Linked DNA regions of Tribolium castaneum. The protein of the gene in region 1 interacts with the protein of each later gene in a pairwise test. Links are inferred from orthologs where the notes say so. Each region holds a gene or a part of one and is shown on either strand. Other genes may lie near its edges.

The links.
Region 2: the proteins of p115 (region 1) and tn interact in a two-hybrid assay, tested with the Caenorhabditis elegans proteins (2 studies listed by BioGRID). The link is inferred for Tribolium castaneum from reciprocal best matches to the Caenorhabditis elegans genes uso-1 and nhl-1.

The regions. Positions count from the first base shown.
Region 1 is NC_087399.1:6,663,649-6,670,534, reverse strand, and holds the start of p115 (general vesicular transport factor p115), read left to right. Parts: upstream 1-2,173; 5' UTR 2,174-2,256; coding exon 2,257-2,334; intron 2,335-2,391; coding exon 2,392-2,735; intron 2,736-5,548; coding exon 5,549-6,886. Other genes in the region: radial spoke head 1 homolog, read right to left, coding at 1,020-1,510, 1,563-1,923.
Region 2 is NC_087395.1:21,349,420-21,354,851, reverse strand, and holds the end of tn (RING finger protein nhl-1), read right to left. Parts: coding exon 4,901-5,432; intron 2,505-4,900; coding exon 2,044-2,504; intron 1,983-2,043; coding exon 1,551-1,982; 3' UTR 1,465-1,550; downstream 1-1,464. Other genes in the region: uncharacterized protein LOC100141518, read right to left, coding at 103-258, 307-559, 609-791, 840-1,005, 1,056-1,111, 1,270-1,329.

The sequences.
Region 1 (6,886 bases):
TAAAATTATATTTTTTTATTGTGAGCCATCTCATTGTAGAAAAAATAGTGTATGCAGCTCGAATTTAATAGCTAGATGCTAAGACACTAAGTATACCTACATATACTTATACTTACTGCGACACTCGCTTACGGCTCGTGCTATCATTAAATACTTATTGTATAAAATATGTACTATCAATTTGATAAATACTTAATTAAAACAGGTTTTCCGACGACACTAAATATTTAATTTAAACTAAAAGGTTTAAAGCTCGTACTATCGAAATTATGGGCTGAAAATCAACCAAAAACTAGAAGAAAAATGAGGAAACAATTAAACAGAACCAAATGTCGTTTTTTGCACTTTTAATAAGAGAGTTTAAAAAACAAGATTTATTTCTTGATTTTTCGAGGGTACGTTATACGGTGACTAAACAAAAATTAATTACGGGTAAGCAACAAGATTAATTAATAAATTAACTAAATCAATTAGTAAAAAAATAGTAACGGACTAAAACTGAGCTAAGTTTTTTTCTTAATCAGTTGCACTACAGCTCGAATGGCCCATTTTTTGCACGATTTCATCACTTTGTTAAATTTGTGGCCAATTAGTAAAAATCGCCCAATTTAAATATTCTACCGCAACTTATTATTATTGGCAGGTGAATTGTTGCTAATTTCGGCCATCTGTTACGTACATTATTTTCTAATAATAGCCCAGCTTGAAACTGTTGATTTTTTAAGGCAAACAGATGGAAAATTGTATTTAAATAAAAACTACTGGTGCAATAAATTAAACCTAAATAAACAGCTACTTTGTTGTATAAAATAAATAAATTACAAAATGATTAATTCCCGACGATTTAAATAAATAATTATAATTGGTTTGGGGCCAATATTTCAGACTTAGCCCGACTGGGAGTCAAACACAAGAACCTAATTATATTCAAATTTATCACAAAATCTTTATTTTTCAAATTCGAGTCGCCCACGACCCCAGGTGTCCCGATACCAATCACAAATAAATTTTAATTAATTTTAGCCTTCACCAAAATTTGAAGCATAAAAAATGCAACTTGGCGCGCACGTATTTTTCGATTCTTCATCGAAGTGTTGGCGCAACAAATCGTGGTTGATTTTCTTCGGCTTCTTCCAATCTTCGCGAATTTTTGCACTCGTGTAATATTTTTTGTACCACGCTTTTTCGTCATCGGTGAGGCTCGAAACTCCCAGAGTTGAAATTTTCTCAAAGACGGTTTGCTTCATTTCTTTGTTCTTCTGGTAGTCTCTGAACCAGTCAGAGTCTTCGAAATCAATAACGGACTTGGTTTTGGTGCTTTTGGCGAAGACTTGTCTCTCTAATTCTTTCAAGTCTGGTGTTTCCACTTCACTCGTTTCGCCTTCTTTTTCTTCTTCACTCGGAATTGTTGTTTCTTTGATTATAGGGCGCCCTTTGCCCCTTTCTCGGTCCAGTTCTTGCGAAAAAATGTGCTCACGGTACAGCAGCGTGTGCTCAGGGCCGGCCTTACCTTAATTACACTTAAATTTATTTCATTCGTAATCACAAAACTGAAAAATTACCATGCCAAAGGTGTCCCTTGTAATCAATAAAAATCACATTCCCCGAAGGCTTATTATTCAAAAATTCGCAACACAACCGGCCTCCCCTACGAAAAGTGTATGTCCCTGGACCGTTGTACTTGTACTTTTTGATTTTTCCCTCAAAAGTGTCGTTATTTTTGAACATAATGCGCACATTTTCGTTTTCATTTAATTTATCGTCCTTCCAGTTTCCTTCGTAAAATTGCAAATCGTGCGTTTCGTAAACACCATGGCCTTGCCTCCATGCTAAACCACTAACATGAGCGCAAAAGTGACCCGAATATTTGTCCCGATTTGGAAAAAGAAACTCGTGTTCACCCTCTTGAAACCCCTTATTCATATTCCCGCCAAAAAACGCGACATTTATGTGACACTTTGACTGAGGGCGCCATCTTCCACCCACTAACCCAAGCGGACAATAACAGGTCGCTGTATCATAAACCTGCCCAAACTTTTTCAGTTCAGAAGTAAAATTATAAAACGCCACTGAGCTACGTCCAAACATAGAAAATTAACCAAATACCTCTAATATCTTTGAAATTATGTCTTTGAAATTAACACACAAAAAGTGCCCCCTTTTGTGCGTTTCAAAAACTGCGCTATTGACGTTTCTTTGTATACATGTCACGTCAAAATGTCAAAAATTTCAAACAATTTGTGTTAATTTCGTGAAATGGAGTACTTCCGGAGCGGTTTGAAGTCGGTGCTGGGGGCCCCGGCCCCCGGCACCCAGCCCACGGGTGCCGAGACCGTAAGTGCCCCCGAAACCCCAAACAGCTGTCCTGACCGCCCCTAACCCCACTTTTAGGTGGAGCGGCTTGTGAGTCGGGTCAGTACTTCGACGTTACTGGAGGACCGTCGCGACGCATGTCGGGCCCTTAAGGCCCTGTCTCGGAAATATCGCCTCGAAGTGGGGGCCCAAGGCATGGATGTGTTGAGACAGGTCCTGGAGTTGGACCGCTCTGACTGCGAAATCATCGGCTATTGTCTCGATACGTTGTGTAATATCACCTCGAAGGAGGTTTTTGAGGAGGAGAGTGAGAGTAATTTAAACATTAAGGTCAATGTGGGGGAGCAGTTCACTGAAATGTTTATCAAAAATGCCGAAAATGTGACCCTGGTTTTGAGTTTTTTGGAGGAGTACGACTTTAGGTAATAATTGCTTTAACTAATGACTGATCACACCTTTGCACCTCTTTCCTTGTGGAGATTCTTACTCTGTGATTTTACGAAATTTTGAAAATTAAAATTAAGTGTGTTTATATTTGAAAAAAGTTCGATAGAAATCAGAAATAATGTGATGTTTGAGTTAAGTGAGTAGTTTTTCTCTCACAAAAACCAACATTTTAGTTCAACAACGTACTCAAACACCTAAAAATTGTTAAGAATAACACTATTTTTGGGCAAATTTGCAATTTTGACTAATATATGTATTTTCAAACGGTTTAAATAGAGTGATACAGGTCAAAATAACGGTAATTTGTTTTAAGCAGTTTTGACAAAAAACTAAAGTTTTTAAATAAAAAATGAACTTAGACGTACTATTTTTAGTGAAATCTCGTGAAATACTATTTTTATTTCTAACCAAAAAATAAGCTAAAACGGTCCAAAAAGCAAAAATGAGTTATCATTTAATTAAGTATTTTTCGAACTAGTTTAACAATATCTGACAAAAACCCTAAGATTTTTTATTCAAAAACAAGTTTAGAGATGAGAAAAAGTCAAAAATAACATTATTATTTTTAACCAAATTGATGTTTCGTTTATTTTTGACAAAATTTCAATAAATAACCAAAGCCAGTAGATATACAGTATATCTACTGGCTTTGTAAATAACAAGGTAAATCGAGTCAAATATCAATTTTGATTTGTTCTTCTAGTTTTTAGCAAAACAAAGCTAAGTCAAAATTAATTTCGATTTTTTAAACAGACATACTGTGTTTTTTGCAAAAAAATAAGTTTTTAGCTGATAAACATACTAAAAATACAGAAAATAATTTTGTTTCTGACTAAATCACAAGCTAAAGCGCTAATTAACAACAAAAATTTGATTGTATATTTTATTTGTAGTGTTTTTTGGCATATTTTAGCGATATCTCGCAAAAAACCTTTAGATTTTACTTTGAAAACGTGCTTAGAGGTTGGAAAATTATAAAAATGACACTACTTTTACGCAAATTGTTTATTTTTGTCGAAATTGTGTTCTAAAACGAACTACATAATCATGTATTTTTATGAGTTTTAGTTTTCAATTTTAGCCTAGTTTTTGGAAAAAAATAAGTTTTTACTTTAAAAATTTTTCAGTTTGTTTTATTGAAATTTTGTAAATTCATTTCGTTTCTGACTGGAAAACTAGTAAAACCGCTCGAGAAGAGCAAGAATAGTACAATTAATTGCATAACTTGGTAATTTTTAGACCTGTTTGAGCGAAATCGTTCAAAAATTTTGAAATTCTAGTTCGAAATCGTACTTAGGGGGTAAAAAAAGATAAAAATAACATTATTTTTGACCAAATTACCATCAATTTCGAATTATTTTTATAATTTTCTTGATCGATTTTATTGATTGAAACTTGCTTAAGACAAAAATAACATTATTTTTTGTTTAATTTAATGATTTTCAAGCTTATTTTTAACGAAAGTGCTAGCATTCCTAACTGTAAAACAAACTAAAATGCTTATAAATGCAATATAGTAGAGTACTTTTTTTGTAATTAGATAAATTTACGGTCGGTTTTAACTGAAATTTTACAAAATTATTGAAAATTTAATGTACTTAGGGGCTCAAAATAAGTAAAGACAACTCCAACTGCCATCAGGTTTTGTGATTCGTCGGCTTATTTTGGCGAAATTTCTCTCAGAAACTATCAATAAGTCGACTGAAGCAGATGAAATAAGATCGATTTCGATCTATTTTAGAATATTTCTTAATTTTTTGGTTTCGATTTATTAAAAAGTAAAAACTACACTGAATTTACTGAATTTACAGCTTTCACCAGAGAAATACGTGTTAAAGCACGCGAAAACGGTCTAAATTAAGATATTTTCACCCATTTAATAATGTTTGTGTTTGATCGGATGAAGTCGCTTATTATCGGTAAACTAACCTTTACCACAAGGAAGGAGGTATTCGGAAGTAAAATTACCGTTGGGGGCGCCACTGAGCTAGGTCGAAAACAGTAACCATAAATGGCGGGAAAATGTTTATTCGGATATTTTGAGCGTTGTACGAATTTTGGGGCTTCACAATTATTACATTGCCTATGCGGAATGATTATTTCATCTTTGATGCAAGAAACTTATGTTGACAAATGAGAGATGACGAGGAAAACACGAATAACGAATGACTGTTTGGTTCACTTTCTTTATTGGAAAATTATTACAAAGACATTGAAAAGCCTACCTTTTGGCATAATTTACGTTTAAATGTATCAGCAGTTGTTAATCTTTATTGTAGTTTTGTAGATTTACCGCAGCATTTCATGATTTTTTCAGTGGAAAATTCTAACCTAAAATTCATAACACTTCACTAATTTATTGGTTTCTTGAGCCAAACTTTGTGTTCGCTGTGATCCATTACTTATAATCTTTAATTAGACAACTGTTTGATAACACTTTGTAATCAAAATTTAAATATTTTTCACTTTTTATCCACTTTCAAGTTCCAACAATAAACACTTTATACCACGAAAAACTACAGAACCAAAGTCAACGCTAGTATTTACCACCACGTACTTTTAAAGTAATTCTTTCTATTGTAAGTAATTAACACTATATACGCAAAATTATTGAACAATTCATTAAATGTCAGTTAAATGTGGCATTACGAAAATTTCTTTACTGTTTTCGACATAGTTCAAAAGTCATCACCAGAGGGCGTCTAGTTAATTTTATTTCCGAATTGAGCTTTTAATTATCTTTCAAGTGTTTCGAGTGTGGCTAAAGTAGAGGTTCCCGCGATTTTAGGGTTAGATGGCCAGCTGTCAAGCTGCTCACTTCACTTCTGGCAAGTAAACCTAAAGAAATCCAAGATGTGATCCTCGTGAGCCCCATGGGGGTTTCAAAACTTATGGATTTGTTGGTCGAAAGTCGCGAAGTGATCCGGAACGACGCTTTGCTTCTTTTGATTAACTTGACAAAATCAAACGCCAACATCCAAAAAATTGTGGCTTTTGAAAACGCCTTCGACCGATTGTTTGATGTTATACGGGAAGAGGGTTTTACAGATGGGGGCATTGTGGTTGAGGATTGCATGCTACTGATGCTCAACCTCCTCAAAAATAACACAAGCAACATCAATTTTTTCAAAGAAGGATCATACATACAGAAGTTAGCCCCCATGTTTATCCTCCCGGACAACTTGGAGGAAGTTGGGTGGAGCCCCCAGAAAGTGTCTAACATGCATTGCGTCCTGCAATTGGTCAGGACTCTAGTCTCGCCCACAAACCCAGTCCAGATTGTCACTTCGTGCCAAAAGACAATGCGAAATGCCAATTTACTTGAAGCCCTTTGTAATATTTTAATGGCAAGTGGGGTCCCCGCCGATATTTTAACCGAGACTATTAACACAGTGGGCGAGGTAATAAGGGGCAATTTGACCAATCAGGAGTACTTTGCGGGTGTCATGGCGCCTTCAAACCCCCCACGACCCGCCATAGTAGTATTACTAATGTCCATGGTCAACGAAAAGCAACCCTTTACCCTACGTTGCGCTGTTTTGTATTGCTTCCAATGTTTCCTCTTCAAAAACGAGATTGGCCAGGAACAAGTGGTCCAAACCCTCCTCCCTAGCTCCACCAACTCGACTCTAACCACCGGGCAACTCCTCTGTGGGGGTCTGTTCAGCGCAGACTCCCTCAGTTGCTGGTTCAGTTCGGTGGCTCTAAGTCACACCCTGATCGAAAACCCCGCTCAGAGAGAACAACTCCTGAGAGTCCTCCTTGCCACAAACCTTGGCTCCCAACCCGTTAGCCTCCTGCACCAATGTGCCGTTTTCCTCCAACAAACCACCAAACTCCAGGCCAAAATCGGTATTCTGATGCTGTTAGCCATGTGGATGAGTCACTGTCCCCAAGCCGTTCAAGTCTTCCTGAACGTGCCTGGGGCTATGGCCTTCCTCACAGCGCAGACAAGCGCCAGCGAATTCGACAATAACGAGGAAATATTGCAAGGTCTATGCGCGTTTTTGATGGGTCTCTGCGTTGCCTTTAACGATAACTCTGTGCAAAACTACTCGAAAGAAAACTTGTCTCAACTAATTGAGAAGCGAGTGGGGACTGAGACGTATTGTACGAAACTGGGGGA
Region 2 (5,432 bases), on another chromosome or scaffold:
CAAAATTTAACGCCGGAACTTTTTTAAACTGTAATTAAAAAACGCACCAAAGGCCAGCGCCACTTTGTTGATTTTCTCCTGCCCTTTCAGTTGTATAATTACCAACTGCCGCATCCCTGATTGATTGTTTCACCACAAAACATAGTTTTGCGGGATTTGAAGTGATATTTTCTGAAGACAAATGGTTATTCCTTACGTTAAAGTGTTCAATAATTTGATTCATGCTTCCATGCATGTCATTGACTAGACCAATAATTTCTGAAAAAAAATCTACTGATTACACGCCAAACTACCGCGCAAACTTACGTTGCTTTAGTGCCATATTTTTCAAATATAAATTACATTTACTAACAAGTTTATTAAGACAGGGGTATTGAGACACAGCGTTTAAGACCTGATGAGTGGTAACTTCAGTTAAGTTCTCGGGGAGACACTCGGCGTAAAGAAAATGTAAAATTGTGCCCAAAACGTCCTCCGGGAGGTTACTAAAGGGGCACGGATCGGCGAACCAATCAATGTCACAACCTTGCAATTTTAAAATCGTCGAATGAACCTTAAACTGCAGAATGCACGTTAGAACACAGCAGGACAATCACGAACAAACAGACTTGTTTCTTGTTTGACGAAACTATTGTTAGATCTGAAAAATAGCCGTCTTCAAGGGCCGGCAGCAGAGAAAAGGGAATTGAGTGGTATTTGTCAGTGGCGTCCTCGTAAATGCGTTTACAGTGGAGCATGCACCAGCTCTCGCACGTCATTGTGAGGTTTTCGCGGGGCTCCATTTGATCACACTACAATTGTGGCTCATTTTTTTGCAAAATAAAAAATTGGACAAGTACCCTAAACTCCAAGACATGGCCCGCGTAGGCCCCGAACCGCAACACCACCCCCGATATTGTGGTGCTGTAAAGCTCGTAGGTCTCGCAGCTAAACAGGGGGATCGACTTGAGTTCTTCAGGGACCGTCCAAATGACGTCTCCATTATCATCCAAACGGAAGCGAACACTACAATAATTTCATTGAATCTGAGCCGATACTCACGACCAAAGCAATACCCTTCCAATCCTTGATTGTCACTGTAAGTCCCCGAAATGTATCCGCACCCAATTATCTGCAAATTTGCGTTTAAATTTGCAAAATAAAACGAAATGACAGCTGTCAAAACAAACAATATATCGAAGTAAACAAGCCGAATTTGCGCCCAATTGTTACGTGACTGAGCTGTCTCACGTCTGGACCTTTTTTTGCGCTAAATTATCAAAATCTCACCTCCCAAGTGCCGATAAAACCATGAAGGGCCATACTTGTTTGACATTTGTGTCTTTGCATTTGTCAAAAAGCAGGGACTTTGCCGCAGCTGAGGTTGGCTTGGCCAACCTGCGCGCTTTACCAGTGAGCTTACAAAGCTGGATCGATTTTCCAGAGGCCTCACACCACGTAGATGGACGGGTTAAAAAAACTCAATTTGAGAAATGCAAGTATTTATTGCTTGTAAGTCGTTAACACACTGTTAAAATGAAAAAAGTATTAGATTATTAAATTGGTTTGATTTAAAACACTTGTATCCTGTGGTTTTCTCGATCACACACCAGTATGTGTCCATTGGGGGTCATTGCGACACCTTCAAGGCCCTTGAACTCGCCTTTGCCGATGCCCCAACAACCGAATGAACGCAAAAATGTTCCATCGGGGTGGAAAATCTGGATTCTGTTATTTCCGGAATCAGCAACGCAAATGTAGCCTTGGTCATCCACAGCAACGCCTCTGGGGAACTTGAACTGACCATCGTCCGAGCCCTCGGACCCGAAGGAGGACAGGACTTTGCCATTCACGTCAAATATCTGGATTCGGTGGTTGTTCGAGTCCGAAACAACGACCCTGTTCGTGTTAGAAACGGCGATGTAGTGGGGATGCTCCAGTTGGCCCTCCTTGCTGCCCATGGAGCCGAACTTGCCCACGAAGGTACCATCGGACTGGAAAACCTGCACAGAAACACATTTTATGTACTTGTGAAAGAAAAATTAAAAAACTGTTAATACCAACCTGCACTCTGTGGTTTTCCTTGTCACACACGTAGATGAAGCCTAGGGCGTCGGTGGTGATGCCCCACGGGTAGTTGAAGCGGCCGTCGGCGGTGCCCTGGCTGCCGAAGGCTCGCAAGAAGCGTCCCGAAGGGTCGAAGACTTGGATTCGGTGGTTGTACCGGTCGGCGATGATAAATTGGCCAATTCTGTTGACGGCAACGCCTGCAAGACAGTCGAATTCGCCTTCGCCGTTGCCGTATTGTCCAAATTCTTTCAGGAATCGTCCGTTTGAGTCGAAGACTTGGACGCGGTGGTTGGAGGAATCCGCGACTACGATGGAGTTATCGGGGCCCACGGCAACGCCGCGAGGCCAGGTGAAACATCCGGCTTCGCTCCCCCGACTACCAATTTCGAACAGCTGTTGGCATTTCTGCAAGTACTGACTCCTAGGGGAGGTACCTGCCACTGCCACTGCGATACCTACGCAAAAGATGGATTTATTTTATCAGTTACCATTGTTATCAAAAAAAATTAAACTGTGTTCAAAACAGGACCTCATCAAAATGTTCAGTGGCTTACACATTTACGATTTATTTACAGAGGAAAGTTATCTTTCGAGAATCTCAATAAAATCAAGATTATAAATAAATTGAAGTGTTGTTTATTTAACTCGCAACTGTTATTACAAGAGTAAAAATATTTTGTATTTCTAATTTTGCTTCATATTAAAAACGTAAAGTCTAGATTTTCTCGTCGGTAAACGAAAACTAAGTAATGCTGGCTAAGGAAGTCATGAAAAACCGAGCTCAGAAGTACAAATCATCATGTTAGCGAAGTTTGCATAAAGTAGTACAGAGTAAACTTATTCCTATAATTAAAGTCGAGACAAAGTTACAAAAATAAGACGTAACTACTATGAATTACAAAAAAAAACACACACACAAATGCAGGTAGGTAAATATCTCTGTTATTTTCCACTTGTTTGGCGAGAGTTCGTCAATAATAATTAGTCCCTAGAGAACTAATTACTTTACAAGGAGATGAGAGACATACAAAATAACTCGATATGACCAAAAATTTAGTGCGGTGGAGCGTTTTAGAGCGTCTCTGCTCCAAATTGTTTGAAATTAATTGAAATTAGTTTACAAAGTGAGTGGAAAAGAAGTTGGAACATTGGACATTAAAAAACTAACGACTAAAGTTTTTCGACCAACCTGAGAAAAAAAAGTTGAGCGCCGTCCTACATATTTTTCAAATTGCGAAGATTAAGTATTGAAATTTATAAAAGAACAAAAACATATTGTAGACACCAAACATACTTTAACCAAACAAAATAAAAACATAAACGCGAAACCAAAACTATAAGTAAACAATAAAAATGATTTTTTCTCTCGTCAGTTATTTAATTTTGATAAAAGACAGTCAAAATCAATTTCCTATCGGCCTTTTTTTTCTCGAAAGCCAAATGCAGTAATAATAATTATTGCCAGATTTATTTTGGGTGAAAAAAAAACATTCTCATAGAATCATACACATTCGATGTCGCTTTGTCTTCCATAAAAATAAAAATACATCCATGTCCTTTAATTTTCAAATAAAAAATAATAGTAACCTAACTGTGATAATAACAAAAAAAAATTAGAAAACAGAAAATCATAATAATTATAAATTTTTCGATTTATATTTACGGTTAAAAATACAAGAAATATTTAAGAGGGAATAAGTTGTAGAGAATCTAATTTTATTAAAGGTTTAACCGTTTAGGCCGTAAAGACCGTTCAAGCGACGTATTCGTTTCATTTTAAACGAATGCTGAAGGAATACTTTAAAGCAATTTAAACCTAAACGGTTAAAAATAGAGATATGGCATTGGACTCACAGCCTTTTTTTTGTAGAAATTCTCCACTACTTTGTTGCTTAAGCTTTTTTGTATGTTCGGCCATATTCACTGCGTTTTGAAAAATAAGGTACAAATTGGTGAAAGCCTGAATTTTTTTAATACAATATTTGATAATTTGTTCATATTAGATACCTTTATATCTTCCTCCTGCGAATTTATTCTCTGTTGCTTGTATAATATTTAACATTATTTAAATACGTACGGCCAACTTTTTCAATGCTTTTAAATTTATTAGACGGGCTAGGGACAATAATGCCATTCGTAAGTAAGCCGAAAAATCGTCGAATTTGGCTGGAATGGTTTGATTTTCACGCTTTACGTGCGATTAGTTATACAAGTTTTTAATCTAGAAACTCACTTCTTATATATTACACGTCCTTTTCGTGAGCTTAAACTTGCTTTTGAGCTAATAAAGTTCAGTATTTTGTGACATTTTCTTTAAACTACACTTTAATTAACTTTAAATCACACAAAAATAATAGATATTTTTCCACATAAAACAATATTTCTTCGTACAAATTGAAAATGCTCGTTAGATATCTACTGAAATTTTTGAAAATAAATCTCATTCTTTTTATTAAATATTAGATTATTTATTTACTTTGGAGATAATGGCTTTTTCAAAGTTAGAATTTGCTAATCCTTATAGGTAAATGTTCAATTAATGAGTTTCTTTTACCGAACTTTTGTATTAAATAACAAATGTATTGTTCCAAAAAAGTATAACATTAATTTGTCATTTGTCTGTATTTACGAGTATTTTTTTAACAAACTGTCCTGAGATTTTCTTTGATTTTGAGCACAATTTTACATGAGGCACCTTGTGTTTGTTGCAAACTTTCATAAGAGGTAGTCAATTGTGAACAACCCCTTGTCGAAAATTTTCGTTCCTTTAGCACCTGAGGAATGCCAACACAAACCGCCTTTGTGTTGGTCAGTATCGGTGCCCTTTTTCGAAATACTTGAAAATACTAACCGGCTGCCGCCGTAGCTGCTGTAGGAGGGGTAGTGGGGGAGCCTTGCATGTTTTTTTGGTCGTCGTCCGAGCTCCCTAACTCCGTGGACGACCTCAGCGGGAGACCAAGAGACAGTCTCCTCGCCGTCGTCGAACTACTCGACGGTGTCACCGAACTACTCGATTCCTTATCTTTGCCACTGTTCCTATTCCCGTACTTGTTCTTTAAATACCTCGCCCAAGAACTCAACGCGGCCCCATCTTTCTCCGTCGCGTTCGACCTATCAGGCGAATTATCGCGCGACTTCAACGCATGCGAGGAGCGACTTCTCGCAAGATCGTGCCCTGACGATGCTGCGGAGCCGTACCCCCGCGACGCCAAGTACGCGGACGGGTTGCAGGACGTCGGCGAGATGGGCTCATCGACGTCCTCTTCGTCGCCAAACTGCTGACTGCTCCGACTGCGCGCCAGCCTCTGTCTCCGCTCCTTCAGGGCCATGTAGCGCGACCGCCCGCTCCCATATTTACTGTCGGAGTCGTCGCCAAGCGTCGA